6 linked regions of the Oryctolagus cuniculus genome follow. The protein of the gene in region 1 binds, or shares a complex with, the protein of each later gene. Links are inferred from orthologs where the notes say so. Each region holds a gene or a part of one and is shown in the gene's direction. Other genes may lie near its edges.

Region 1 (4,377 bases):
TTTCTTTGCCTTCATTGGCTATAGGCTGCTGTGTTCCTGTCTCTCTTCACTCTCACCTTTGTTAACATAGAGAACTGGCCTAAGAATTAGTTCTTTCAGATTTTGTTTTAAAAGATTCATTTTATTTATTTGAAAGTGTTACAGAGGGAAGTAGAGCCAGAGAGAGAGAGAGAAAAAGATTTTCCATTCGCTGGTTCACTTCCCGAATGACTTCAGTGTCCAGAACTGAGCTGATCCAAAGCCAGGAGCCAGCACTCTTGCTTTACTAGGCCAAAGCAGAGAGCTGGATCCGAAGTGGAGCAGCAGAGACTCAAAGCAGTGCCCGTGTGGGATGCTGGCACTGCAAGCTAGGGCTTTAAACCACTGCACCCCATCACCGGCCCTTATTTTATTTTATTTTATTTTATTTAAAGATTGATTTATTTGGGCCTGGTGCTGTGGCATAGTGGGTAAAAGCCACCACCTGCAGTGTTGGCATCCCATATTGGCGCCAATTCAAGTCCCAGCTGCTCCACTTCAGGTCCAGCTCTCTGCTGTGGCCTGGGAATGCAGTAGGAGATGGCCCATGTCCTTGTGCCCCTGCACCTGCATGGGCCAGAATCTCCTGGCTTCTGGTTTCAGATCGGCACAGCTCTGGCCATTGCGGCCAATTCGGGAGTAAACCAGGCGGATGGAAGACCTCTCTCTTCCTCTCCTCTCTGTGTAACTCTGGCTTTCAAATAAATAAATAAATCTTTTTTTTTTTTTTTTTTTTTTAATTTATTTACTTCATTGGCAGAGTTACAGACAAAGAAAGGGAGAGAGAGAGAGATCTTCCATCTACTGTTCGCTCCCCAAATGGCTGCAGTGCCCAGATCTGGGCCAATCCCAAGCCTAGAGCCAGGAGGCCCAGAGCTGCCTCAGGGTCTCCTGTGCAGGTGCAGAGGCCCAAGCACTTGGCCCTTCTTTATTGCTTTCCCAGGCCATAAGCAGAGAGCCTGATCAGAAAAAGATCAGCTGGGACTTGAGCTCTTGCCCATATGGGATGTCAGTGCTGCAAGTGGATGCGTAAACTACTACGCCACAGCGCCGACCCCAGTTCTTTCAGATTTTAAATAATTCAGCTTTTTGGCTGGCACCGCAGCTCAATAAGCTAATCCTCCGCCTGCCTGCAGCGCTGGCACACCGGGTTCTAGTCCCGGTCGGGGCGCTGGATTCTGTCCCGTTTGCCCCTCTTCCAGGCCAGCTCTCTGCTGTGGCCACGGAGTGCAGTGGAGGATGGCCCAAGTGCTTGGGCCCTGCACCCCATGGGAGACCAGGAGAAGCACCTGGCTCCTGCCATCGGATCAATGCGGTGCGCCGGCCGCAGCGGCCATTGGAGGGTGAACCAACGGCAAAGGAAGACCTTTGTCTCTCTCTCTCTCTCACTGTCCACTCTGCCTGTCAAAAAAAAATAATAATAATCCAGTTTTAGAATTTTGGTGCATGACATCCTTTCTGCCATTTCTATGTTACTGACACATACCATAAATGCTTTCATTTTTATCAAAGAGGGTTTTTTTTTTTTTTAAAGAAACTGTTCTCTTTTTTTTTTAAGATTTTATTTATTTGAGTGGTAGAGTTACAGATAGTGAAAGGGAGAGACAGAAAAAGTCTTTCATCCGCTGATTCATTCCTCAAAACAGCTGCAGCAGTCAGAGATGGGCCGACCTGAAACTAGGAACTTCTTTCAGGTCTCCCACGTAGGTGCAGGGGCCCAAGGCTTGTGCCAAATTGAACTGCTTTTCCAGGTTATAGCAGAGAGCTGGATTGAAAGAGGAGCAGCTGGGATTAGAACCAGTGCTCATATGGGATGCTGGTGCTGGAGGTGGAGAATCAACCTACTGCACCACAGCACTAGCCCCAATAGTTTTTTTTCTAATACATTATTTTTCATCTTCCTTTCTTTTTTGAAACAGAGTTAGAGAAATTTTCCATATGCTGGTTTACTCCCCAAATGGCTGCAATGGTTGGTGCTGGTCCAGGCCAAAGCCAGGAACCTGGAACTATATCTGGGCCCCTTATGTGGTGGGTGCCAGGCTCTTGGCATCTTCCACCACCTTCCTTGGTGCTTTTGTAGTTTACTCTTCATGGGCTTCACATTCAATGTCTTAACATCTCCTTTGGGTAAGGATGGGGTATCAGATCTGATAGGTGTTGCAGGTTGTTGTCAGTGATGAGTGTTTTTGCCTCTAGGTGTACCCAGATGGCATTCGGCACATACGGGCAGACAAGAGAGTCAACGAGTGGAAGACTCCTGGAAAGAAGACAATTGTGAAGTGTGCGGTGAACCAGCGACAAGTGGTGATTGCCCTGACAGGAGGAGAGCTGGTCTATTTTGAGATGGATCCTGTATGTTATTTTTATCATCCACTGTGGGAGTTGTAGTCCAGGCATCTATATTATATTCACAAAAAGTATTGAGGAGTGAAAGTGTCCATTAGCAAACCAGGCATTTTTATAGAAAAGAGGAAAGAATAAGGTGATACCTAATTCTAATTAGAATTAGAAATATCTTCTTAGCAATGAGACAGTTGTCTTAATGCAGTTCGCACTCTACTTTTCCAACTGAAGTTTGGCATAGATTTGTGTCTGCAATCTGAATTTGTGTCTGAGTTGTTCCTTTGCTCTTCTAATATGGAAGGATGGTAGATAACTCTGTCTCTCTCTCTCTCTTTTTTTTTTTTTTTTTTTTTTTTTTTTGCTCTTAGGAAATCTCCAACATAGCCAGTTTTCATAGTCTTAGTGTTTGTTACAGCTTTGTGTTTATCACATATGAATTCCTTTCGCTCAAGGTTTTCTCATGAATGAGCAGTTTTTGTTTCTTGACAGCTGGTTTGCTTAGAAAATTTGTGGTACATTGAACTTGTCAAAGGTCTCTTGATTGTCTTGTCAGTGGGAGAAAGTAATTTTGTTTATGGTTAGCTTATGAAGTTCAATCTTTGGCTCTTGGGTTGGGAAATTCTTGGATGTCTCTATTTAGAGTAATGAAAGAAAGCTGAAAGAAACCTTAAACAGTCTGCTTCCCTTCCTGTCTCCTGGGTGTAGGGTTTGTGGGTGAATTAGGGTATTTCTTTCGCCCTGTACTTTGTGACCTTTCCTTTCTCTAGTCAGGACAGCTGAATGAGTACACAGAACGGAAAGAGATGTCAGCAGATGTGGTGTGCATGAGTCTGGCCAATGTGCCTCCTGGAGAACAGCGGTCTCGTTTCCTGGCTGTGGGACTGGTAGACAATACTGTCCGAATTATCTCCCTGGACCCCTCGGTGAGTGATGCCCTTGTATTCAAGGATCTTCTGGTTTAACCCGAGTACCTGGCCTGTGCATGGTGTCTCTTGAGATTAGCAGGACTGGGCTCCACAGTCTATGTTGCTATGTCTATTGGTTACCATTGCAACATAGCCCAGGCATCCTCCGCTGTGGTTTGAGGATGCTCAACTGAGACTATGAGATATTTCTTTGGCATAAGCTTTGGTTTCCCTGTGTAGTTTTTTAAAAATCAGCAAAGAAGCTTAAAGAAACCAAACAGTTGCTTTCCCCTCTGGATATAGGATCTCGGGCTGAGTTGGGTATGTTTTATCCCTCTGTGTTTGCATAGGAGCAATTGACTTGCTCCAGGGCTTTTGATGGCTTTGAGGGAGGTGTCCTTTGCTTATTTACTCTTCCATTGTATGTTTTAACATAATAAGGCATGTTACTCTCAAAGCTTATGCCCAGATGTCCCCCCCCTTAGAAATCAGTCTTGGGGTTTTCTCTGCCCACTAGAGTACTTCAGTCCTAGAATTAGATTCCTCTTAGGGATGTCTTTCTAAAATTGATCATTTATTGTGATTTTTATGATTTTCTCTCCCTTCCCGCCCCAGGACTGTTTGCAACCTCTGAGCATGCAGGCTCTCCCAGCCCAGCCTGAGTCCTTGTGTATTGTGGAAATGGGGGGAACGGAGAAGCAGGATGAGCTGGGTGAGAGGGGCTCTATTGGATTCCTATACTTGAATATTGGGCTACAGGTAAGAAATCCAGAAACTCACATTGTTGGTATCAGCCTGTCTGTAGGTTCCTTGTACTCCATTGTCCTACACAGGCATTTTTGTGCACTTGGTATCAGAGACTCAGTGTAGGAAAATGAATGGCATTGCTCTCCATTCCACTTTTCTCAGCTCTTTAATTAGAACAAATGAAACCTGAGGAATATTTGGAGAGAGAAAAAGTATTTGTAGAGCGTTCACATCTGACAGCGCTTTGCAGTTGCTACGAAGCCATTGCATTCTCAAGGTCACCTGTGAGTCCCATAGTAGTCAGCTCTTGAAATGAATTACCTCACAGATCACAATTGGCTGCGTTAGTAAGGACCTATACGTG
Region 2 (4,972 bases), on another chromosome or scaffold:
CAAAAATGCAATATTATTCCTTTCTTCCAAGCTTAACAAACCAGGTATCCTATCAAGTAACTGCCTGAGGGCCGGCACTGCAGTGCCAACATCCCACATTTGAGAGCCGGTTTGAATCCCAGGTGCCCTGCCTCCCACCCATCCCCTCCTACTGAACGCTGGAAGGCAGAAGACAGCCCAGGACCTGGGCCCTGCCACCCATTTGGGAGACCAGGATGGGGTTCCTGGCTCTTGGCTTCTGGCTTCAGCCTGGCCCAGACCTAGTTGGGAAGTGAACCAATGGGTGGAAGCTCGCTCTCCTGTCTCGTTCTGTTGCTTTTTTGAATAAATAATATACATCTTTTTTAAAAAAAATCACGAGTAAATAAATCTTAAAAAAAAAATCTTGACTCCATTAGATCAAACTGTTTCTACATCAATAACCTGGAGAGACAATTCAGTTCAGACCTCTCGCCTCTGCTCAGAATTTGAGACCAAAAGTATTCTGGAATAAATGATTTTCCTGAAGCCATATGGTTTAGAACTCCAGCGGTGCGATGAAAAGTAACACAATGTGAGGGTACGCATTCAACTTCTTTATTGATTCTACCAAGTTGTGCTGTTTGATCCAAAGACTCACAAAGCTGATGGCTAAAAGTTTAACAGAAAATGTCTACAGACACTTGCTTTCTTAACTTTTATTAACGAAACACACATTTTGACATTGAACTTTTGAATACGTCAAGTTAGGAGTGAGAGGCCATCTGGCAGACACAGCCTTCCGGACGGCTCCCAACAGAGCCCTCAAGGTCAGACTGCTCGGTCCCCTTAGCTGTCTATCTAGGACTTGAAAAGCAACTAATTCTGAGCTCAGACGCGCCATTCTGTAGTCTGGCAAGTGCAAATAAGCGCACCGCAGCTCGGTGAGAGCAGGCTGACCAGCAGCAGAGGGGCGGCTTCCCCCAGCCATCAGGCGAGCCGATCAACCCACTTCGGTCTCACCGGGTGAGTATACGAAGCGACCAGCATACAGCAGCCCTGCAGTCTGCTGAGAAGCTGACTACGCGCTACCTCCGGCAGCCGGAAAAGCCCCTCGAATTCGCGGCTGCACGATCGGGAGGGTCCCCAGAAATGGATTAAGGGACTAGCGCTTCCTCTCCAGCCTCGAAGCCCGGCAACCGCGGACGCACTCGGCTCGCAGGCCCCCGCTGCGGAGCGGGGAGCGAGGGCGGCGGGCGCTGGGCCTAGAGCGCTCAACAACCACGGCGCCCCCCAAGTCACCTTGCCCTCACCTTGAGAAACGGGAAGTCACCCCACGGGAGCGAGGGCTGCCGTCCTCGGAAAGGGGGGAAAGGTGTCTCTACTCTGCACCGGCCGCCACTCACTGGGCCCACGCTGCCTAGCGGGCAGGGAGGGACTGACGGCCCGGGGACGCCTTGACCTAGGGCACTGGGGGAGCGGGCACCGACTTACGCCCGCAACCCGGACGGGCACGCGAAGTCAGCCCGAAGACGCGCCCGCCTCGCCTTGCCTCGCCCACTGCCGCGGGCATAGCAGGAGGCACCCCGCCCCTGTGAACCCACAGGGCCCTGAGCTCTCTCACCTGCAGCCGGGTCACCAGTAGGCTGTAAGGCGCCATTTTGTGCACTGACAAAGATGAGGTCGCGTGAAAGTGACGTGCCACCGGGCTCATTTATAGCCTACGGCCAGGGGCGTGGCCTGAAGAGCGACACGTCATGGTGGAGGCGGGGCTTCCCTAGGGGGCGCCAAAGTGCTGCCAGCGCAGTGGGAGGAGCTCAGGGATGAGAAACGGACACGTGAAAGGAAGATATGCCTGAAAGTACGTACGGATACGGTAAACTAAAAACCGAAATAAAAAACTTGCATAATTAAACACCGCGAACAAAGATGTTATATCCAAGAGCAGATTTAGGTTATCTCTGCCATCCAAGTCTGGGAGGCTTTTTTTTTTTTACTTTAAGACTTACATGAACCTACCAGGACCTGGCCTCCCGCAGCTCCAGAAACTCTCGCGAGAGCGAGCGAGACTCGGTGCAGCTTGTACTTGCTGATGGAAGCCTCGACGACCAATCACGGCGACCTGGAGGCAGGAACAAGAGCGGGGTAAAGGGCGGACGGAAGTTCCCGGAGCTTCCGGTGGCAAGCTAGGGTCGGGGCTATGGCCAAACATCATCCGGACTTGATCTTCTGCCGCAAGCAGGCCGGTGTAGGTGAGACAGCGCCTTGCCCTCGGCTGCCTGGATAGGGGGGTTGTTCGAGCGGGGGGCCCGGGGACTTCCACTCCATCCTTAGGATACTGCCTCAGGGCAGCCCCGTTTCCCGCCTCGGCGGTCGCGGGTATCGTAGGAGCGTGCCAGTGCGTGGCCTGTGCTGTGGCCCGCCGGGGGCGCACGTGCTGGGAGTCGGATCAGGCGGCCAGGGGCCGGGGCCGGGGCCGGGCGCCGGGCGCTTCGCTTCAGATCCAAGTCCGTAGTGAGACAAGGGCCATCCCGCGGGGCTCTGCTGTCCTCGCCCCCGCCCCGACGCCCAGCCCCAGGAGCTCCTCTTGATCAAAGCCTTCGCTCTAACGCTGTTTGCGTTTCTCTTGCAGCCATCGGAAGACTGTGTGAGAAATGTGAGTGGAACACGCCTTCCGCCCCCCACCACCCAGGGTTCCCGTGGCCGCCGGGGGGCTTCGGGGAGATGTGCCTGGGGGCGCGCGAACGCCGAACGCCAGGCTGCTGCCGGGGCCCCTCCGCCTTCCCGCATGCTTGGGGGAAATCTGTGGGCTCTGGAGGGGAGGGTCCCAGAGCCGTGGGGACCCGCCCCTTGCACACACTCAGCTCCTGGCCTCCCTGGTGCGGCTCTCGGGCCCTGACAGGTGTTCGTTGACCGCTTTTTATTGCTGTTAGTATTATTATTATTACCTGTGGAGGAGATGGAAGTGGATGCCGGCGTAGACGGAGGCCGAGGTACGCAGCAGGGAGCGTGACTCGGGTCTCTGCTTGCAGGTGACGGCAAGTGTGTGATCTGTGACTCCTACGTGCGTCCCTGCACCCTGGTGCGCATCTGTGACGAATGCAACTACGGCTCCTACCAGGGGCGCTGCGTGATCTGCGGCGGCCCCGGGGTCTCCGACGCCTACTACTGCAAGGAGTGCACCATCCAGGAGAAGGACGTGAGTGTCTGGGCTGTGCTCTGAGCCTCCCAAGGCTTGGCTGCCCACAGCGGTCTCCTCTGGCCGGTGGAGGGTCCTGTGTTCAGCTGGCCGCCCAGGTTGTAATGGCTTCACGTTCCCTGAGCCAGGCTGGGTGTGGTCCGCGAAAGGGCAGCTATTCTGGACCAAAGACAGAAGTGCAACAGGAGCAAGTCCTTGTGGACACCAGCAGTTTGGGAGCGCCGTCCCTCCTGGCTTTGGTGTCTGATTACTCACGCAGACGCAGCCTCCTGCACTTGCTAAGTCCTAGCACAGCGCGTGGTGTGCATTAGCTGCTCGGTGTTTTCCTTGGATCGAGCATGGCTGTTGGCTGATGTGATAGCAGCATTGACATGGAGGCAGTTCAAGTTGGCTTTTTGTTGCTTAAGGAATACGACTTTTTTTTTTTTAAGGCAGAATGACAGGGAGAGTGATCTTCCATCTGCTGGTTCACTCCCCAGATGCATGCAACAGCTGGTGCTGGGCCAGGCAGAAGCCAGGGACTTGAAACTCCCTCTGGGCCTCCCACATCGGTGACAGGCACCCAGGTACTGGGGCTGTTGCTGCTTTCCCAGGCGCACTAACAGGGAGCTGGGTCAGAAGTGGAGCAGCCAGCTAGCCGGCGCCGCGGCTCACTAGGCTAATCCTCCGCCTAGCGGCGCCGGCACACCGGGTTCTAGTCCCCGTCGGGGCGCCGGATTCTGTCCAGGTTGCCCCTCTTCCAGGCCAGCTCTCTGCTGTGGCCAGGGAGTGCAGTGGAGGATGGCCCAAGTGCTTGGGCCCTGCACCCCATGGGAGACCAGGAAAAGCACCTGGCTCCTGGCTCCTGCCATCGGATCAGTGCGGTGCGCCGGCCGCGGCAGCCATTGGAGGGTGAACCAACGGCAAAGGAAGACCTTTCTCTCTGTCTCTCTCACTGTCCACTCTGCCTGTCCAAAAAAAAAAAAAAAAAAAAGAAGTGGAGCAGCCAGGATATGAACCTGCGCTCCGGTATGGGATAGCAGTGTTGTAAGCCTTAATGCACTGTGCCCATGGGATGGTTCAAGTTGATTTCAGCTTTAAGTCGCTAAGGAATGAATGCTGGGGCCAGTGCTGTGGTATAGCCAGTAAAGCTGCCACCTGCGGAGCTGCATCCCGTATGGGTGCTGGTTCGATTTGGCTGCTCCACTTCCAATCCAGCTCCCTGCTAATGTGCCTGGAAAAGCAGTGGAGGATGGCCCAGGTGCTTGGGCCCCTGCACCCACATGGGAGACCTGGAAGCAGCTCCCGGCTCCTGGCTTCGGACCAGCCCAGCTCCGGCCATTTGGGAAGTGAACAAGCAGATGAAATATTTCTGTCTCTCTCTAACTCGGACTTTAAATAATTATATACATGGGTGTGTGTGTATGAGTGGATGCTGTGTTGGTTTCATATTGCAGAATTGATTGCACATCTGCCTCAGACATTTGTCCCTTGACATTATGTAGTGGCAGTAGTGAGGTATTTGACTCACTGAGCCAGATGCCAGGGAAAGGCCTTGTGGATCGGCGCCAAGGGCAAGTTCTGTCCTTTATATTTAGAATAGTACTGGCAACAGGGCTCTTACTGATACAGACCCACGAATCTGCTTCTTCTCAAGACGAAGGCAGTGGGGATTGTGCGGCAGATTGAGCTGCTGCTTGGATGCCCACATTCCATATCAGAACACCATTTGCAGTCCTGACTGCTCCACTTTTAAATAAACAAACAAAAATCATTATTCACTTATTTGAAAGTCAGAGTTAGAGAGATCTTCCACCCAGTGGTTCACTCCCCAGA
Region 3 (4,974 bases), on another chromosome or scaffold:
CCTTGCCACTTAGCACATTCTCCAGGGCTCTGGTTACCTGATCAGCACTGAAGTTGTTCAAAGAGACATTCTTCTCTTGGCCAAATGCTGTGTAGGGGAGATAGAGAAGTGGCTTGAAGAGTCAACTGTGCACAAGCATAAAAGTCTCTATCTTACGATCTTGTTAGGATGGGAAGAGTGGTAAAGGAACATGACCAAGGGAGAGTGGGTATGACTGGGATTAATCCAGTGGGTCCCAAACTCAGGAAGCCCAGTTTCAAATACAATCTTGGCTGATTCTGGGCAGCCACGATGAGACTGAAAGTGTTCCAGGGAGGCTTTAAAGGGACACTGTAGATGTTTATTTTTAACTACCATGAGCAGTGTACTGTGTAGGCCCAGCCTTGGCTGGGCACCCATTCTTCACTAGCATAATATACTAGTCTCTCTGTCTCTATACTGACTTTTGGAATGTGAACTTTTTTCCCTTCAATTATTAGTGCATGGCACACTACAGTAAGAACAAATCTGCCTCTCCCCCAGCACATGATATCCCTAGGGCGGGGTGGAGTTACAAGCTATGATTAAAATCCCACGATTCAGTTCACATAAATACTGCATAACTACTATGTATTAGGCAACATGCTAAGAAATTTCCAGATTGCAATAAACTAGAATGGGGTAATACGATAAGGGGCTGGAGCAATATAACATGGGCAGGGAATGTCTTTTTAAGGTGGTAATACATCCATCCAACCCAAATCACAACAACCTAACAAGGGGCCAGTCATGGAGACCTAGTGCGTTCCCGGAAAAAGGAACAAAGGTAACGCATCTACCACGTTCTATCCTAGCTGCAGAGCTTTAGCTGTGCTCTGGACAGTTCTGATTCGGTTTCCAATCTCTGCAATAAGAAAAAAATCCCCTCGTGATTAACGAACTAAAGTGAGCCTTAAGTTAGGTAGAAGCCACTCAGCACAGGGATGGATGGCATTACGCGTCCAACGTCACGGGGACGCTCACACCACTTGGAGCGGCACCGGCCACACGCAGTTGGGAAGGCCCTACACCGCTGAGCGTCTCCTATCTGAAGTCGGCTCTGAACCACAGAAATGACAGCTCCTGGTCCCCGCGCAGGCCTCGACCACGTCCAAGTGGATGTTGTCTAGGCTACAGAGCATCACATGAACCCTGCGAATTTCAATTCCCTCACTGGCAACAAGGTCAACAGCAAGGCCAGAGTCCAAATTCCTGTCTCTTCGCAGGTTTCTGCCTCACTCTGGGCGGCCCCTTCTCTTTTTTTACCCCCGGCATCCCGCGCTCACCGTAACGGGCCCACAGTTTGGGCTGCACGTCGGAGCATTCACGGATTAGGATGGGTAGGTCGGGGTTTGCCTTCTTCAGCTCCACGTAGCGTTTCTCGATGAAGTCCCTGTGGGGCCGGGAGAGCGCCGCGCGTGCTGTGGGCACAGTCCTGCCCAAACACTGGGAGGTCGAGGTCGTGACCCCGGCGTCCCGAAGCCCGCCCGCCTGCTTGCCTCACCACGCCACGCCTCACCTGACGCCCTGGCTCCCGGGCGAGCGCTGACATAAGTGGATGCGAATCTCACGCAGCCCCAGTTTTGCCCCGACCCCTCGGGTCGCTGCGGCTGCCGCCATCTCCGCTGCTACTGAAGACCCCCAAGGCAGGTACTTCCGGCCAAGTTCTCTAGTCGGACCAATAGCGGACTCCCCAACCTCCGCCATCGATTGGGCGATGTAGAGGGCGGGGTAAAGGTTTAGCCAATGACAAAAAAGCGTTGTAGGGCCGCAGTGAGGTCATCTCTGTGCGCAGGGTGGGACGGATTCGAGAGGGAGGAAGCGGAAAGGCTCGGAACACAAAGCACTGTGGGTTCATTTCCGAGGTGCACTGTGGGAAGGGCTTGTTGCGACGGTGTTGTTGTTGGAAATTAGGCTCTTGCTGTCGTTGAAACGCAGGAGACAAGATGCCGGAGCGAGATAGTAAGTTCGGGTCATCTGTCCTTTTTTCCCTGCGGGACTCGGGGCACTTGGCGCTTTACCTCGGCTGCTGAGCTTGATGGTGTGTATGTGAGGCTTGCAGCCCAGCGAAGCTCTTGGGCCTTTTGAGCAGCTGCAGACTCCGTTCTCAAGCCTGGTTGCTGCCCCCAGAGAGGACGAACAGCTTGTGGCTGTGGCCTCTCCTTCCTCCCCCGCCCCCTTATTTACTCCTAGGTTGTGTCTGTTCTTTTTTTTTTTGACAGGCAGAGTGGACAGTGAGAGAGAGACAGAGAGAAAGGTCTTCCTTTGCCGTTGGTTCACCCTCCAATGGCCGCTGCAGCCAGCGCGCTGCGGCTGGCGCACCGCGCTGATCTCACGGCAGGAGCCAGGTGCTTCTCCTGGTCTCCCATGGGGTGCAGGGCCCAAGCACTTGGGCCATCCTCCACTGCCTTCCCGGGCCACAGCAGAGAGCTGGCCTGGAAGAGGGGCAACCGGGACAGAATTCGGTGCCCTGACCGGGACTAGAACCCGGTGTGCCGCAAGGCGGAGGATTAGCCTAGTGAGCCACGGCGCCAGCCTCCTTTTTCACGTAGTATTTTAGATGTGATCTTCAGGAAACCTTTGTTGACCAGCCAGCGCGGGTTTAGGGGCCGCTCTGCGTTACCACAGCTTCCCCCATGTCAGGACTTAGTACATTATATTGACGCCATCGCTGTTCTTAGGTTTCTGCTGTGTTCTTCACCACTGCATTCCCATTTTGACACAGGACCTGACGCATGAAATTAAATTAATGTCAATTCTTTTCGATAGGCGAGCCGTTCTCCAATCCTTTGGCCCCAGATGGCCATGATGTGGACGATCCTCACTCCTTCCATCAGTGAGTATTTTGTTGTAAGGCCAGAGAAAGGAATACGCTGAGCAACGGTGGAATGGAGTAGCGGTGAGAGGGTGAAAGAATTGTGAATTTCTTATCAACAAGAATAGTCCAAAAATAGTACCACTTGGCCTTTTATCACTATGAACCTTAACTGGGACAGGCCAACCACAAAAGATAATTCAATCAGTTCTAGCATGGAAGGTGCTAGTATTTTTTTTTTTAAGTTTCCTTGATGTATTTTGAAGGGATTGAAGAGTGACAGAGGTAGAGACATAGAAGAGAGATTTTTCACCCTCTGATTATCTGCCCAGGTGGCTACAGCCACCAGCGCTGGGCTAGGCGGAAGCCAGGAACTTAATCCAGCTCTTACTTGGGTAACATGGACCCACGCATTTGGGTCATCTGCTGCTGCTTTTCCCAGGCCATCAGCAGGGAGCTGGATCGGAAGTGGAGCAGCTGGGACATGAACCAGTGCCCATATGGGATACCAGCATTGCAGGTGACAGCTTTTACCTGCTATGCCAAATGCTGGCCCCAGGTGCTAGTTTTTTTTTTTTTTTTTTTTTTTTTTTAAATAAAGATGTATTTTATTTATTTGGAAGAGTTACAAAGAGAGATATAGACAGAGAAAGATTGGTCTTCCAACAGCTGGTTCAGTCCTCAAATGGCTGCAATGGCCAGAGCTGAGCTGATCCAGGAGCTTGAAGTCTCTTCTGGTCTCCCATGCGGGTGCAGGAGCCCAAGGACTTGGGCCATCCTCCACTGCTTTCCTGGCTCATTAGCAGAGAACTGGATTAGAAGTGGAGCAGTTGGGATGCAAACTGGTGCCCATATGGGCTGCTGGCACTGCAGGCTAGGGCTTTAACTCGCTGCACCACAGGGACAGCCCCAGTGCTAGATTTTTTTTTTTTTTTTTTTTTGACAGGCAGAGTGGACAGTGAGAGAGAGAGAAACAGAGAGAAAGGTCTTCCTTTGCCGTTGGTTCACCCTCCAATGGCCGCCGCGGCCGGCGCGCTGCGGCCGGCGCACCGCGCTGATCCGATGGCAGGAGCCAGGTGCCAGGTGCTTTTCCTGGTCTCCCATGGGGTGCAGGGCCCAAACACCTGGGCCATCCTCCACTGCACTCCCTGGCCACAGCAGAGAGCTGGCCTGGAAGAGGGGCAACCGGGACAGAATCCGGCGCCCCGACTGGGACTAGAACCCGGTGTGCCGGCGCCGCTAGGCGGAGGATTAGCCTAGTGAGCCGCGGCGCCGGCCACCAGTGCTAGATTTTTAAATGTTGTTTGATTAGACATTATACAGGAATTAATTCCTCTCATAGAATATTAAACTATAGGAAGGCTAGCACTGTGGTATAGTGGGAAAAGCCGCTGCCTGCAGTGCCAGCATCTCATATGGTCACCGGTTCAAGATCTGGCTGCTCTGCTTGTGATCCAGCTCTTCTGCTATGGGCTGGGAAGGCAGTAGAAGGTGGCCCAAGTCCTTGGACCCCTGCACCTGCATGGGAGACCTGGAAGAAGCTCCTGGCTCCTGGCTTCGGATCAGTGCAGCTCTGGGCGCTGCAGCCAATTGGGGAGTAAACCAGCAGATGGAAGACCTCTCTCTGTCTCTGTGTCTGTCTCTGTCTCTCTCTGCCTCTCCTTCTCTGTGTAACTCCGACTTTCAAATAAATAAATAAATCTTTTTTTTTTTAAATAAAGTATAGGAATTAAAGGTAAAGTTGTAATTGATAACATCCCCAATTCTGGTCTGTTTCTTAGAGGTAACCATTGGAGAAAGATTTTTGTGGCAGTGACAAAGAACCCAGGAGTCTTGTTTTTGACTAGAGCTTGGACTGCAAATCCTGTGTGTGTGTGTGTGTGTGTTTTTTTTTTTAAGATTTATTTTATTTATTTGAAAGAGCTACAGAGAGAGGTAGAGACAGAGAGAGAGGTCTTCCATCTGCTGGTTCACTCCCCAGATTGCTGCAACGGTCAGAGCTGAGATGATCCGAGGCCAGGAGCCAGGAGCTTCCTCTGGGTCTACCATGTGGGCGCAGGGGCCCAAGGGCTTGGGCTATCTTTCACTGCTCTCCCAGACCATAGCAGAGAGCTGAATTGGAAGAGGAGCAGCTGGGACTA
Region 4 (4,975 bases), on another chromosome or scaffold:
GGAATGAAACGGGAGCCCAATAACACATTGCTGAAAACAACTGTATACTATTTTTGGATCCAAGAAGATATACTTAGCAATGTTTAAATGAGCCCAATAAAACTCACATTATCTATATTATGAAAATGCCTGCAAGTTCAGTTCTCCAATAGTTCTGACCAGAACAAGAATGTAATGAAACAGAAATGTACTTAAAACAAAAATATAAACAAATACAAACCCAAACTACTATTTCAAAAACTATGGTTATGGTTGAAACATGGATTCACACAGTTGGCATGTGAGGAGCCAGGATTTTCTAGAATTCATACTCAGCTGCTAAGTTTCGAAGCAAATGTCACTGGAATAGTAGAAATAATTTTTTCTGAGGAGCTTTTCTCCATCCTCAATGAACACCTAACGGGCTGTCATTTTTAAATGGACTAATAAATACTCATTAAAATGACTGTTTTGGAAATAATGGTAAATATAAACCATATAAACAAAAACTCTTTGGACTCTTCAGTATTTTGGGGGAGTAAAGCGATCCTGTGATCAGAAAGTTTGAGAACCACTGTCTCTGGCACCCCATACCTCTCCTGTCAGATTTATTAGCCTTCCTGAGCCTGTTTCCCACGAGCTGTGCCCATCTTGTTGACTGTTGAGTCACCAGAGCCTAGTACATTGCCTGACACTTACTAGTTCAATAACTGTTATACCAAGTGACAAATATGGACTTCTTCGTTTTCAGCAAAGCAAGTAATTTGCAGGGAAAAAAAAAAGTTCTGTTTAGAACAAAAGCGTGCTGTATCTTTCTAAAGGAAAGACAAAGTTACTGGGCCAGCACAGGTTGTGTTTACACTGGGATGTTTATGTTTACGTTTCAAGTTTGGGGCTTGAGCACTTCTGAATCCTGGAGGACGAGGCAGGCAGAGTCCAACTCTTCGTCCAGAGGAAGGCATGAGACGATCAAACAGGAGTCTGAGATTAGGCAAAGGTTGATCCTTGTGCTTATCCTTGGTTTGTTCGTTCATTCAGTCACTGCACACTAGACAGCAAATCCTGCAGCAGGTGATTAGGCTACCAAGATGAGCCAGAGCCGGAGCCTATCCCAGGGCAATCAGAAACAAATAAGTAAAAGACATGACACCGAAGCAGGGAAGAGTTTTTGGGCGACGGAGACGCGACGTTTTTGCGTTTTAAGGAAGCGAGAGAAACCTGTCCTGCCGGTCCCACCCACTCCCCCAAGATGGCGCCCACTGCAAGGCAGTATTCCCACACCTTCCTTTGGGGTACCGCCCGGACTAGGTCAGCCAGGCCGAACCTTCCGAAGACCCACGGGGCCTAAGGCCCCCAAGGGACTGCATTGCCCTAAAGGACCTCATCTCGTCCACAGGAAGGGCCTGGTGGTCATCAACGCACGACAGCCGCGCATTCCTTGGCGCCCCGCCCCTCCGGACCCTGCGCCTCAGGCCTTCGTCGGCACCTTTTGACGTCATGGTAGGCGTGTCGGCGCGACACAGGACGTCACACCGCGCCCACAATGGCGACTGCGTCAGCCTGAGGAGGGCTCCGTTTGAAGTCATTTCCTGACGCTGCCGCGAGAATTGCAGTCGTCTCAGACCCGAGCGGCGGTGGCGGCGGCGCGCGTGCGCGCTCTCGCCGCGCCCTGGACCGAGCGGCGGCGCCGCCGAGGCCCGGTGGTTCAAGCCAGGTGGGCGGTGGCGGAGCCGAGCTGAGAGGATCGGCGCGCGCGCGCGCAGTGGGCGGGCGGACAGCCGCGCGGAGCGAGGGGCGGCGCGGCGGCGAGCGGTCCCGACTTCCCGGGGATTGCTGGGGCGCCGTGGGGAGGCGGGCCGGGGGGCCGCGGGGCGGGAGCGGAGCACGGCCGACCTCCTTCTCAGATCCCCTCTCTGGCGTCATTTCGGCCTCTTCGCTCGTCTGAACCCTGCTTCTGGGCTAGGTAGGAAACATGAGCGGCAACAACTTGGGTGGGAACGACGAGTTTGATGAGCAGTTGCGAATGCAAGAATTGTACGGAGACACCAAGGAGGGTGACACCCAGAACGATCCCGGCGGAGAACCCGATTCTTTCGGGCAGCAGGCGGCTGACACCCCGTACGAGTGGGACCTAGACAAGAAGGCTTGGTTCCCCAAGGTAAGCGAGTAGCACTGGCGCCACTGCAGAGCGGGCCGCCTGGCCAGCTTCACAGAGCACTTTTACATTTGCTGTGCTCACTCAGTCAGGTCTGTGGTCCTCACCCCCCTGGATGGTGACGCTTGTTTTTGTTGTGTCTTTTGCAGAGTTGATGTGTAAAGGAACGTAAATCTTTCGAATGGGGTATTAAATGCCTTTTCCGTGCTTTATTTTGTCTGTGAAGGTCACAGTTGGCTATTCTATTGATGACTTTTTTATTGCAAAGAGGAAAAACACACAAAAAATTTTGTAGCTGATCATCTCAGATAGCCGCCCTCGCTTACCTCACTTATCGTAGGAATTCACGTTTAGCATATGTCTTCGTTTACAAAAAGTTGCTGTTTATATACTTGTGCTGAATGAACTTTGTTTGCTCCTTGCTTTCTCTGCCTGCTGCGTTTGTCCTTAGGCATTTATGTTTGAACTTTACATCCACAAGAATACAATGAGGGATGCGCAGAGTATGGTTGGAAAAGATGTGTGCATGTTAGTTTGGAGTACTGAGAAATTGTTAGATATTTTATTTCTGCTTGGAAGTAACATAACTAGTGAAACTTGGTTCTGTAAACTTTGCTGTAGAAGCACTCTGTTATTCTGAGTCTCCTGTGGAGGCCAGAAAGACTACTAATAGCACACCAAGACATGCAAACCAACAAAACACAGCGTGTCTCCATTGTGTGATTAGACTGATCTGTGAAAAAGTCTTCATTTCTACTTTTCTTTCCCATTTTATATTTGTATATATTGAAAGTTCTCCAACTTTTTAAAATTTGCTATTTTACAAAAGTACAGGTAGTGTCAGCTTGAGGCAAATTGGCTTTCTTCAGCCTTCTGAGTACTTTTAACAGTAGTCTGGTAGTGGATTAATTTATCGTTCTACATTTTTGTGTTATTGAGGCCCTTACCTCTTCAAACTTTGAGTTTTAAATTTTCCCCATTCATGTGTGTACTGAATGTTGATTGAATTGGTGTGATGCTATAAGCACTTTTCTAACATTATATAATAGTCCATTTTCCCCCCAAAACTAGTTGGATTTGCCCTGAATTGATTCTGATTCTAAATGGTGATTTCATTAGTGATAGATTTCAAATGATCATTTAGCTTTGTAATTATGAGTCTCATTCTTTGTATGCCACATCACACTTCCATTCTATGTGCTCTTTGAATTCACATATTGAATAATTAAGTGGAAATATATGTGTGCTTCTATACAGTAAAAAAAGTGGATTTTGTGGTTAGCTTATTAGTTGACTGTAGGTTGTTATCCTGTCGTATTGTTACCTGGTATTTCCTTTGTTATATGTATGTGTAGCCTTAGTCAGTAGACTGTGGAGAGGTAGTAATTTATAAATGCATCAACTAGAAAAGGGACCAACATCACTTAAAGTGCTTTATTAGTACCACAGACTTTTGTCTTGATAATTTAAGTATTTGTATCAGGTGACCATTCTTGGATTTACACTTTAATCACTACAACTACAATTATTATTCACGCAGCGTCTTCGATGGTAAGTTATATAGCCAAATAGTCTGTAATATGACACAGTTTGAAGTTTATGGGTGGAAATAACTGAATTTCTGTGCATGTGTTTGTATGTGTATGCACACACGTGCATGAACTAAATTTCTTGTTTAGATCACTGAAGATTTCATTGCTACATATCAGGCCAATTATGGCTTCTCTAATGATGGCGCATCTAGTTCTACGGCAAACATACAAGATGTCAATACTAGGATTGCTGAGGAACCTCCACAAAGAAAAACTCCTGAACCCACTGATCCCAGAAAGAAGGGAGAAAAAAGAAAATCCGAGTCAGGCAAGTAGTTCTAGCTTGCAGAATATGAGTGTAAAAACTTAAAAGTGTGAATGTATACATAGAGTTACTTTTTGGAGATTTATAATAGCTTTGAACAAATGGCAAGATTTTTTTATTTAAATAATGGCAGATTCATAATTACCTGATTTGATTAGTTTATGCTCTATTTGTATATTGAAAAATTTTACTATAGCCCATGAAAATGTTTAAGTAGGGATCGGTATTGTGGTGCAGCAGGTTAAGCTGCCACTGGGAACCCGGCACCCCATATCAGAGTGTCAGTTTAAGTTGTGGCTCCTCAGCTTCTGATTCAGCTTCCTGTATCTGTATTCTGGAGGGGAGCAGATGACGGATCAAGTCCTTGGGCCCCTGCTACCCATGTGGGACACTAGGAGGAATTCTGGACTCCTGTTTTTGGCCTGACCCAGCCCAACCTTGTTTGTGGACATTTCAAGAATGAAACAACAGATGGAAGATATCTCTCTCTGTTTTCCAAGTAGATAAAAATAAATAACACATTTCAAAATGTACAAATATTACGTACTAGTCAAAAATCTAAATAATAAGCAACAATCAAAATAAACAGGCCTTTTTTTAAGACAATACTGCATCTGTCAAAAGATTCAAACACTTGGAAAGCTGGGTAGTGCTTTAAATGAGTTTGTCTTAGTTTTCTAAGAATAAGATAAAGTTCTTGTAAGTTTCAACAGACTGCCACTGTTTATATATTTTATAATATAAATCTTACATTACCTTGAGTTTTATATATTTATTTCATTTGTATTTTTAGGATGGTTTCATGTTGAAGAAGACAGAAATACAAATGTATATGTGTCTGGTTTGTATACTTTTAAACAAATTTGGGATAGTGAATACTTGGTTGTTCAGTTTTCTTACAAAGTGATTTTTAGTTTTCAGTTTCTTTAAAGTCCATTTCTTATCACTGTGCTTTGTTGTTGTTGCTCAGCTGTATACATTCAT
Region 5 (5,064 bases), on another chromosome or scaffold:
GAAAAACTCCAAGATTAATAGTTGATAGAGATGAATGAAGAAGACCCACCCCAGACAACCATTGTAGCCAGTGAATATTGGCTTGATGGGCAAAGAAGGAGAAACAAAATGGTGCTTTGAGACTGACCAACAAAGTAAACAAATCCCTTTAGTCTTGAGGATGTATGTTCTCCAGATTACCGTGAAGCCCACAGTACACGCAGAGTAAAATGAATCTGAAAAAACAGTGATTAAAGAGTGAGTATCACTTTCTAGTTTGTCACTTCAGGGGTCTCGTATGTTTCAGGTGGCTGTTAAACGGGAAGATCTTGTGACTGAAATTCAGAAGCGACTGTCTGAGTCTTGATCCTTGCTTGAAAGCCGTCTGCTGCTCTTTGTAGAAGAGATTTCATCTGGGCCAGAATTCCTGCTGGATTCCAGCATAGCTGGCCAGGATAGGTGGCAAGCACTTCTACCTCCTCCATCCTTCCTGGATACAGAACTGTAGAAGGCCTGAGGACTCCTGGGCTGGTACGGGAAGCTGCTCTGCATGGGTGCAGATGGCTGGGGTGTGAAAGACATTTTCCAGCTGTGGAAGCAAATTTGGAGTGCTGCTAAATGCCACCAAGAGGTGCTGAGGGGTTGCTGGGAGCAGGGCTCGGCTCTGGGAGAGCCACCTCAGGCTGAGGATTCTGAACCATCGAGATCAGAAGGCAGATACTGGACCTTCCACAGCAGCTTTGGAACCAGAATCTGGGGGATTTGTCCTCAACGAACCCTGGATATGTCCAAGGAGTTTTGTAAAGAAAGCAAGGAGAAGCAATGACTGCTCTTCGCTTGAGGGCGGAGATGCTGTCCTAAGGGCGGGAGTGCCCAAGTTGATCTGTCGTCTCCGCCAGCCACTGTTTATGATAGTGGGGTTGAATTTCATTGGTGGCTTGTCAAGTTGGAGATCTGAGCTTTTGGAGACTATTTCCTATGCCAGAGTCATGCTCCGACTATTCCATGCCCTGCTTTTCTACAGGTGGTTAAATAATTTGTTAAATAAAGTATTAAATGTGGTAGTTTGAGTGATGTGTTATCAAGGGATTGGCTTGCCTAGGTCATTGGCTTGTTTCAATTTAGACTGAAGAATTCTGTGAGCTAGAAGTAACCTCCCTGAGGTGTAGTCTGTGCACGGAGCAACCACAGCCCCTTCTTCCACTCCTGCCCCCCACACCCCGACTCGCTGATAGTCATGTTGCTAGAAATCAACGTGTCCTGAGCCATCTGCCCGAGTGCTTCACCTGATTATTGCTGATGATTGGCCGCCTTGTGTCCAGTCATATTGAGGAAATGGTTTCCTAGAGACTGAATGACCTATGATGTTCCATAGTTGAAGGAAAAAATGAGTTAACCAGAGTGATAGTACTGTTTCGAGAAAGAGAGCCCTAGTGCAAAAAGCGCTCTCCGTCTCTGCCTGGGAAGGTTCAGCCGTTGCCAACACTTCAGTGCGGTTCAGGGCCCCATCCCTAGCAGCTGCAGGGGAATGAGACATCTAAAGCCCCTAGTAGTAGTTGGGACTTAAGGTTTAGAAACTCTTGACAATGCACGCAAAGTTGATTAGAGAAAGAGGCATTTTCAGAACCTGAATTAAACGTGTCGGCTCTTCACCGCTTGTTTTGAAAGCCGGTACAAAAAACGTTTGCAGGCGCCCTTACTTCCGTGTTGCTTCGTACTTTTCTTGCGCCTGCGCCGTCTCCTTGGAGCAGAGGCGGGGCCGACAAGTCTGTTGTGAAAGCCCTCCAGTCCTTAGCCCGTTCAGAATACGAGACTCTAAGCTTATTGGAGGGCCGACTTGCTTTACGGCTCCGGGCCTCTTTTTACAGCATTTTCCGGCCTCCCATTCACTTCGCTGTGAAGATGGCGTCGGGCAGCGGGGTATGTGTTGTGTGTGAGGAGGAGGTTTTTGGGGGCGGTGGGGTTACTTCTCAGTGCTGAATAGAAACAAGCTCCTGCAGCGGACTGGCTTCCCAACACTTCGCGGTCCTAGGGTCCGGGTTCGAGAATTCCGTAAGGCGTGGGGTCTGTGGAACCGCGGAGTTCTCTTGGGTTGGGGTCCTGAGGCCACTTTAGCCTCTTGGTCTGGGCCGGAGAGCTTTCGCTTTCCAAAAATCCTGGAGCCGCCTTGGCGGTGCGGACGTGGTTCCTTCAGACTTTCTAGGGGTCCAGACGCGATAGCGACATGTCTTGAGCGCTTTCTTTCCCCACAGACAAAAAACTTGGACTTTCGCCGAAAGTGGGACAAAGATGAATACGAAAAGCTTGCCGAGAAGAGGCTCACGGAAGAGAGGGAGAAGAAGGATGGTGGGTGCCTGCTCTGTCCAGGGCTCGGGGTGTCGCGGCGGCGATGCAGTGGGCGGGAGAGTTGGGATGGGCTGCCCTCCTACAGGGTGGCACTTTTGGCAAAGTGGCCCGCGGCTTCTCCGCGTCTGAAATAAAGAGGTTTTGTGGTGCTTTTCAGCTCTGTTCTCTGTTTGCTTGTTTTCATTGGTTGGCTCATTTGGTGCTTTCCTGAGTTACAGAGACCGGGCTTCTTAGTAGTGACAGAGAAGCTCAGTGGACTGATTGGCTGGTGGGCATTACTGCTCTCAAAGACACCTTCTTTTCCTTGAGAGCTCTTCAGAGGGAGGAGAACATTCCTGGCGCAGCTGGGACTCTTAGAGCCGGAGGCAAGCGGGGTACTGCCTGGAACGTGCGATCCTTTGAGCTGGCGCTCGCTCGTGCTGTTTCTCTGCGCCTTGTGCGACATCAGGGACGTCGTGGATGCTCCTCTCCTAGATAGCGCCCACTTTGGGAAAAGAAGTGTCTGATTTTTTCTCATCTGTTTTCACGTTGTTCTATTTACTCCCACACCACTTTTCACAGGCCAACAATGCTGTTTTTGTTATTGTTTAACATTTATTTATTTATATGAAAGGCAGATTGACAGAGGGAGACTGAACCCTTCCATTGGCTGGTTCACTCTCCAAATGGCTGTAATAGCCAGGAGCTGGGAGCTCCCGCCGGGTCTCCCACATGAGTGGCAGGAGCCCAAACTCTGGCCATCTTCCCTGCTTTCCCAGGCACATTATCAAGGAACTGAATCAAAAGCAGAGCAGCCCAGGAGTCTAGCAGGCACTCCAGTAAGGGACGATCATGTTGCTGCTGGCAGCTTAGCTCACTGCTGCAACACAGGCCCCACCCTCTTGGTTTTTCTGTATTATGTACTTGGTCTGTGAATAGATATTTCCTAAATATTGGCCCCCCTTTTAAAATTTGGCCATTTGTGTGTTATGCGTAGGGTATCTGCCTGTAAAGAATTCCTGAGTGTCCTTGCTCTTTTTTTGGTTGACTTGAAACTAATAAACTTTCTTGGGTATGCCGGATAATTAAAGGATCTGTTCCTAACTATGTATAAGTGACAAATTATTCCCTCTTCTCACCGAATTCACTTTTTTTTTTTTTACTCATATGTCCTTGCTCTTTTGAAAAGGCTGCTTTTAGTGGGAATTCATAACTTTTCCCCTCAGTTAATCAATAAATAGAAAACATGTAGCTTGTAGATTAGCTGGCTTTAAAGTGGAGAAAAGCTGTAGATAGTAGGGATTGCTTATCATTTTTCTTGTGTTCAGATTCTCCCTCACTACTGCTGACTGCTGCTGGAGGTGCCTGTTGTGGCCTTTTTTCAGGAATCATTAATTTTGGGTTTAATGCATTTATTTTCCTTTCTGACTGATAACTGTAATATTGAAGGGACTTTCTTCATTATGTTTCAGGAAAACCAGTGCAGCCAGTCAAGCGGGAACTTCTGCGACACAGAGACTACAAAGTGGACCTGGAATCTAAGCTTGGCAAGACAATTGTCATTACCAAGACCACCCCACAGTCTGAGATGGGAGGGTAAGTGGTTTTTTTATCTTTCCAAACAGCTGTAGTAGGTCCAAGAAACTATATATATTTGTTTTAGGAAATGTTGAGGATCCCTAACCCCAGGATAATAACCTTGCTGCCTATCATTTCACTCTTTGGTTTGTTTTACTTTGTCCTTCACGGTCTTAGGTTAACAATTAGTGTCTCCAGAAGTGGCCACTCTGTGGCCTTGTTCATGTTGGCAGTGTAACTGCTCCTTACATCTTCAAAGGAATTCTTTGTTAGAAGAAGAAAGGAGGAGAGAGTCTGTTGATTTCTAGGAGAGAAATAGGTGGAACTAGGAGGGGCTTTGGAGCTGTTAATGGTGCAGAAAAAGGGCTGAGGTTCCAGACTGGCACAAAGGCTGCCGTTGTTATGGATTACCTGGTTGTGCACCTTCCTCCCTGACCCAGACTGTAACCTATAGGAAGAAGGTTCCCACAAGATCTTGCCATTCTTTTGCCACCACTGTTTCTCTGTGCAGTTAGGACTTCAAGCAGGAGGTCAGCATAGGTAGCAATGAGTGAAACTTCTTTGAGTGGCTATCATTCTTCTCTGCAGTAGTTCTGTCCGTGGATACATAAATTAATAAGGGAACCCAAGGTTTAGCAGCATAAAACAAAAAGTTCACAGTGTGTGTGGGTGTGGAATCTGGAAGTGGCTTACCTAAGTGGTTCTTGCTCTAGGGTCTTTCATGGAGCTACAAGCAAGGAGTTGGCTAGGTTTGCATTCATCTCGGGCTTAAGTGGGCTGAAGGAACTGCTTCCAAGCTCCCTCACAAACCTATGGTTTGGAGGCCTAAGTTCTTTCACCCTATGAACCTCTCTGTAGGACTGCTCACAACAGAGCAACTGCCTTTTTCAAGAACAAGTGATTCACACAGAAATAGAAGCCGTGGTTTTTAAAACCTAACCTTAGAAGTGACCAGTCATCAGTTTGAACATAATCTGTTTACCACACAAACCAACCCAGGTACAAATTGGAAGGAGACTACACAGGGTAGAAACACCAGGAAGGGGACTTATGGAGGCTGTTTTGGATGATGGCCACTACATGATATTAAGAGCTAAGGCTTTATGGAAATAAAATTTTAGACTTAAAAAAAAAAATAGAGTATTTGAAAGGCAGAGGGACAGAGAAAGAGGGAGATTCTAT
Region 6 (4,897 bases), on another chromosome or scaffold:
CATTTTAAACTCAGTTTCCACTTGGAATGTCCACACCACCGAAGCATTTCTAAGATAACTCAGCTCTGTACCAGGGCTCCTCCAAGGTTATTTGGTTAAAGTTATCCACACCATCTGTGCCACGGCCTTCCCTCCTCCGTCTCTGGGGCTGCACCTGTCAACTCACTTCTCAAATGCACGACTCCCTGCCAGCCTCCCGGTCTCCAACAAGGGTGCAGGGGAACAAGTCAGGCCCAGTAGTCGCCCAGCGGCTGAGTCCGGACGCGAATGGGAGCGCTCACTCCGTGTTGCCATTAGAGACGAGGCCTTCCTGCCGGCGGCCACAACACGGGACTCGCAGGAATCACGCTGACAATCCTGAATCCTTACTCGTGCTGGATAAAAACACGACTGCGCCTGTCGTCCAGTCTCTCTCCAGCACGGAGAGTCAACTCGTCTAATGTCGAGCTCCGATCCTGCTGCACCCTGTGAATTCCTCTACAGCTACGGCATTGGCTCACCGCGCTGCAGGAAAGATCCCGAAAACCACTAAAATTACCCAGCCCCTAACCGCCAACAGAAAACAGGCAAGGAAAGGGGGAACCGCGACTCTCTTGGCCCCCCCTTTTTTTTTAATATACAAAGACGGGAGAGGTCTGAGGGCGCGGGGTGCAGTGCGTGTTACCACCGGCCGGACTTCAGGGCTCGCTGGCTGAGAAACCCGGCCGGGCTCCGGGCCACGCAACTCAGCCACCGCTCGGCCTGGCCGGGCCGCACCTACGAAGACGTCAGAGGCCACTACCTACCTGCGCCCGAGGCTAAAACCCGGCCCAGCACTCCTGCGGCCGCCACTTCCACCCGCCTGCCTCTCAGCCTGGCCACTGTCTCCACCGCCGCCGCGGTCTTCCTGTCCGCGACGCCTCCAGGACCCTGGCGGACAAGGTAGCGCAGTCACGCCGCGCCACTCTTCACGTAGCCTCCGCCGTCCGTTACGTAGAATGCGTGCGGCCCGTCGGCGCCTGCGCGCGGCTGGGGGGCGGGCCCGCGCTCTATCTCCCACGCCCATTTGAGGTGAGGTGGGACTGCTGGGAAAATTACATAATCCCCGCCCCTGGGCCGGAACTACCCTCTCCGGCCCTAGCCCTCTCCGCCCGGGTTCAGTCGAGTGACGGCGCTCTGAACCGGTGCTCCGGAAGCAAAAGGTGGCCATGCTGCACGGGACCACGTGGTCACAGCCGTGTGGAAAAATATTGCTCAAGTTGTGTCTGGAAGGGACCACAGTGAAGGGAATCGACATTTTTATAAAAGTGTTTCCGTCCAAGCCTCTTTTCACTTGGGATCTCTGGGTGGTTGTCTGACAGCCCTACTCTTTTATTTCCATATCCACTTGCTAGGCAAGCCATAAGCGCTCTTCACCAAGCAGCGGTTTCCTGTCAAGGTGTGAGGAGCCGCGAGCCATTCCGGAGCTTTAAAGAAGGGGAGTCAGGACGCCTTCCGGCGCCGTAGCCTCAGGCCCCGCCCTTCGGCCGCACTCTCCCCTCTGCGCATGTCTGGCGAGCGTTCCCCTCCCCCTCCCCGTCAGCAACGGGCCGTGAGGCGGCGGCGGCGGCAGCGGCTGCGAAGGGGGCGGAGAGGGCGGAGCGCGGCGGGACGGGGTCCAGCCCGCGCGTACTTGGGTCCGTCGGATTCTCTCGGCGGCGGCTGTGGTACCGGCTGCCGCTGCAGCCCTAGCAGCAGGTTTGTGCGAGCGGGGTCGGGACGCGCGGCCGCTAACCCTTGGGGGCACTGGAGGCAACTGTGGGGCCTAGCGAGAGACCTGGAACCGCGGCCTCGCTTAACAAAGAGTCGGCGGAGCCTCGGGCAGCGGCGTGCGGGGGCCCGGGAAGGAGTGGGAGTGCGGGCTGAGGCCTTTAGGGAGCCTTGCGATCCGCGTCTGCCTCCCGCGGCTCCCGCTTCTCTCTCAACTCTGAGCGAGGCCCAGTTGGCGGCTTTCCGGAGGTGGCGCCTGCCGGGAGAGGGAAGGGATTTGCAGGGTGCCGGGCTCCGATGCGGGGAGAGCCACGGGGAGAGTCTGCCCTAAGCTGGCGTCATTCGGGACATGCAGGTGCCCAGGTCGGGGGCTTCCGACAGTCCCAAGTTTCCAGATCAGACGACTGTGAAAGACACAGTCGGTGCTCTTTGCAGTCTGGAGTAGATCAGTGATGAGCATCACACAAAGTTTTTTGCGGCCTACTTAAGATTTAGAGTCTGCCTGATGTGAGTAAATAAAGCAAGTATGTGTACAAAGAAATGTAAGAAAAACTAGTGTACCTGTTAGAGTTTGGGGAAATCGGAGGCTCCCTGTCACCTTAGGGGGCATTTTCCTCTTTGCCGCCACTCTTTTAGGCTGTCATTCACTTTCCTGTGTCTGCCTTGCATGTTCTTGTAAATGATGTTTCCGTATGGGTTCTCTCCAGTATATACACACCCAGGAGCTCCTAAAGGGCAGGTCCTAGGTCTTAATTCCCTGAAACTTTTCAGAGCCACGCCCAGTTCTGGCACAAAGAAGGTGAGCAGTAAGTGTTTTGTACAAAAAAATGATTTGCAGGCCTTAAGCTGGGTAAGAAGGTGGCATTTTCCCGTACCTAAAAGGAGTATTATTTACCTAGTCCTAATTTGTAATCCGTTAAAGAAATGCTGTAGTTGGTGCGTAGTGTGTTCTAGGTGTTAGGGAAAGCCTGTGCCCCTATGAAAGTTACCTTCTAGTGGGGAGAAGAGAGACCTGCGTGTGTCTGACTGTGTGCTAGGAACGTGATCAAAGATGTAAAGCTAGAAAGGGGGTGAGGGATGTTGCAGTTTGCAGGCGCGGTCAGGGAGCCCCTTACAGACCGACTGGAGGAGGTGAGGGGATGAGCCCTGTCTGCATCTGGGGAAGGGAGCAGGGAGCACAAGGGGAGGACAAGGCTGGCTTGTTGGAGGAACAGTAAAAAGATCCATGTGTTTGGAGCAGGAGATAAGGTCAAGGAAGCAGGGAAGAGGATGGACAGAACAACCAGGGCCTTTTAGGCTAATGGAAGGATTGCACCTTTGCTTTCTGTGGGATGGGAGCCATCTGAGAATTTTTGAGCCGAGGGGTGATAAGGTCTGGCTTACGTTATAGTAGTATTAGCAGAGTACTAGCATGGTTCTTTAAATTTGCATTTTATCACAATGATAGTTGTATAATCAACTCTGGATCTTTAAGCTAAGGTATACTTCTAAAATATACTTCTAAAGGTATAGTTATACTTCTAAAATAACTATAACTCAGCAATTACTTACATTTGACCTTAGGAGAATGATGAAATTTCTAAATTTTATACAGATCCTCATTAAAGCACTGACAGCATGCCAGATGTTCTCAAGGATAACGTTTTCATTATTAGGTGGAGAAATTGCTAATCAACTGTCACTGTAATTCTCCCAGCTATGAAAATACAAGTGATGATATGGTTGATATAATCAGATGTTTCTAGTCCACTCTTTTCTTCTTCTTTTGATTATCAGGGAGACAGTGAGCTAGTTCTCATCTGCTGGTTCACTCCCCAAATGCCTGGGACAGCTGGTTTGGGCTGGGCCAGACCAAAGCCAGGAGGTGGGAACTCAATTCAGATCTCTCATACAGGTGGCAGGAACCCAACCACTGCTGCCCCTTTGGGTCTGCGTTAGTAGGAAGCTGGAATCAGGAACCAAAGCCAAGTATAAAACAACAGGTGATGCCTGTGTGGGACGTGGGTTTCTTGAATTTGGGGTTAAATGCCTGCTCTAAGTCTTCTGCCTTTATCCTGTCTTATTTTCCACCATTGCCCAAAACACAGTTACCATCTTGTATTCTACTCTTAGTCTCACTTCCTAGCCCTCACTAGTTCCCTCCTTTGCATATCTTTTCCTAACTTGTATATTTCTGTGCTTTGTCTGGGTTCAAGTTTCCTTAAGATGCTTACCCTCACTTGTCAACTCATAGCGATCTCTAACATCTTCAGTATTTTGTGGGACTTTGGTATGAAATTATTGAGTTGAAAGAGATCTGATGGAGAAACTGGCTTCCAGAGAAGTATTGATAAACATAATGGCAGCTAACATACATACTTACTATGTGCCAGGCGTTGTTAAGTGTGTTCTTGTGTGTGAACTCCGTTTCATACTCTAACCTTTTAGTTAGGGGATAGTCTCACCATTTTACAGATGCGGAAACTGAGGCTCAGAGAAGTCAGTTTCCTTGGGGTTCACATTAAGTTGGTGGCTAACCCAGAGTTTGAACGGAATTAGTCTGTGCTTTACTCTTCTCCTCTTAGAACTACTCCAAGTAGGACTGTTGCCTTCTTAAATTTTTCTGATCAGCCAAGTTCTGTGTCTTCTTGAGTCTCCTGTATATTGAAGAAACATGAATAAAGAGCACCTACACTGGAAAACATGCTGTATGGGATTTTCTAAAGAAGCTTGAGCCAGTTGGAGGAATAAAACAAGAACACAAATTATTAAACATCAGGTGTTTAAGACCAAAAAGGGAGTTTGAGGAATGTGATACCACTTCTCTGGGGATATAATATTCGTGTCATGTTCTACTTGAGATAGGCTCTGAAGGATAGGACTTTAGTAGATACAGTGAGAAGGCAATCCTTCTCCCTGTGTAGATAGAGGGCAGAACATTCACTGAGGTGCTTGGTTTTCTTGGAATACTGAGTGCCTGCGAGAAAACCCCTGGAAACACAAATGGTAAAGCAGTTTGTTGCCAGGGTACAGCGTCTCATTCAGCCCAATTGAATTACTGTGAAGAGTTACTGAAGAGAGTGATAGAATCAGAAATGTGGGTCTAGGCTCTTGAAGAAGAGGGTTTGCCCTGAACATCTGACTGCTTCCCTCCCTTTGGTGTGACTTTCCCTAGAACAACAGTATGTTC

Evidence for each region.
Region 2: the proteins of SF3B3 (region 1) and PHF5A are in contact, whole or in part, in a crystal structure (PDB 7B91), measured with the Homo sapiens proteins. The link is inferred for Oryctolagus cuniculus from reciprocal best matches to the Homo sapiens genes SF3B3 and PHF5A. Residues at the interface, in NP_036558.3 of Homo sapiens: Gly85, Arg86, Gln104, Glu105, Thr106, Phe107, Gly108, Lys109, Ser110, Leu140, Ile154, Ser155, Ser156, Pro157, Glu159, Ser1162; in NP_116147.1 of Homo sapiens: Gln14, Ala15, Gly16, Val17, Arg44, Asp47, Glu79, Asp81, Arg82, Asp83.
Region 3: SF3B3 (region 1) and IK share a complex: the UniProt entries of both Homo sapiens proteins name them as parts of the spliceosome B complex. The link is inferred for Oryctolagus cuniculus from reciprocal best matches to the Homo sapiens genes SF3B3 and IK.
Region 4: SF3B3 (region 1) and HTATSF1 share a complex: the UniProt entries of both Homo sapiens proteins name them as parts of the 17S U2 SnRNP complex. The link is inferred for Oryctolagus cuniculus from reciprocal best matches to the Homo sapiens genes SF3B3 and HTATSF1.
Region 5: SF3B3 (region 1) and ZMAT2 share a complex: the UniProt entries of both Homo sapiens proteins name them as parts of the spliceosome B complex. The link is inferred for Oryctolagus cuniculus from reciprocal best matches to the Homo sapiens genes SF3B3 and ZMAT2.
Region 6: the proteins of SF3B3 (region 1) and DDX42 are in contact, whole or in part, in a cryo-EM structure (PDB 7EVN), measured with the Homo sapiens proteins. The link is inferred for Oryctolagus cuniculus from reciprocal best matches to the Homo sapiens genes SF3B3 and DDX42. Residues at the interface, in NP_036558.3 of Homo sapiens: Glu159, Ala160, His161, Tyr211, His219, Val220, Val221, Arg222, Lys223; in NP_031398.2 of Homo sapiens: Lys145, Gly146, Ile147, Arg148, Asp149, Asp150.

The regions. Positions count from the first base shown.
Region 1 is NC_091449.1:56,664,488-56,668,864, reverse strand, and holds part of SF3B3 (splicing factor 3B subunit 3), read left to right. Parts: intron 1-2,214; coding exon 2,215-2,370; intron 2,371-3,128; coding exon 3,129-3,284; intron 3,285-3,881; coding exon 3,882-4,025; intron 4,026-4,377. UniProt on the Homo sapiens protein: Component of the 17S U2 SnRNP complex of the spliceosome, a large ribonucleoprotein complex that removes introns from transcribed pre-mRNAs.
Region 2 is NC_091442.1:117,486,642-117,491,613, reverse strand, and holds the start of PHF5A (PHD finger-like domain-containing protein 5A), read left to right. Parts: upstream 1-1,966; 5' UTR 1,967-2,158; coding exon 2,159-2,210; intron 2,211-2,590; coding exon 2,591-2,614; intron 2,615-2,990; coding exon 2,991-3,157; intron 3,158-4,972. Other genes in the region: ACO2 (aconitate hydratase, mitochondrial), read right to left, coding at 1,583-1,672.
Region 3 is NC_091437.1:28,275,718-28,280,691, forward strand, and holds the start of IK (protein Red), read left to right. Parts: upstream 1-1,793; 5' UTR 1,794-1,964; coding exon 1,965-1,980; intron 1,981-2,787; coding exon 2,788-2,854; intron 2,855-4,974. Other genes in the region: NDUFA2 (NADH dehydrogenase [ubiquinone] 1 alpha subcomplex subunit 2), read right to left, coding at 1-87, 1,305-1,411, 1,538-1,725. UniProt on the Homo sapiens protein: Involved in pre-mRNA splicing as a component of the spliceosome. Auxiliary spliceosomal protein that regulates selection of alternative splice sites in a small set of target pre-mRNA species. Required for normal mitotic cell cycle progression.
Region 4 is NC_091453.1:114,293,100-114,298,074, forward strand, and holds the start of HTATSF1 (17S U2 SnRNP complex component HTATSF1), read left to right. Parts: upstream 1-1,559; 5' UTR 1,560-1,693; intron 1,694-1,942; 5' UTR 1,943-1,951; coding exon 1,952-2,137; intron 2,138-3,813; coding exon 3,814-3,994; intron 3,995-4,784; coding exon 4,785-4,832; intron 4,833-4,975. UniProt on the Homo sapiens protein: Component of the 17S U2 SnRNP complex of the spliceosome, a large ribonucleoprotein complex that removes introns from transcribed pre-mRNAs.
Region 5 is NC_091437.1:28,328,601-28,333,664, forward strand, and holds the start of ZMAT2 (zinc finger matrin-type protein 2), read left to right. Parts: upstream 1-1,753; 5' UTR 1,754-1,881; coding exon 1,882-1,899; intron 1,900-2,231; coding exon 2,232-2,325; intron 2,326-3,776; coding exon 3,777-3,900; intron 3,901-5,064. Other genes in the region: HARS2 (histidine--tRNA ligase, mitochondrial), read left to right, coding at 287-346. UniProt on the Homo sapiens protein: Involved in pre-mRNA splicing as a component of the spliceosome.
Region 6 is NC_091448.1:14,944,494-14,949,390, reverse strand, and holds the start of DDX42 (ATP-dependent RNA helicase DDX42), read left to right. Parts: upstream 1-1,523; 5' UTR 1,524-1,716; intron 1,717-4,897. UniProt on the Homo sapiens protein: ATP-dependent RNA helicase that binds to partially double-stranded RNAs (dsRNAs) in order to unwind RNA secondary structures. Unwinding is promoted in the presence of single-strand binding proteins.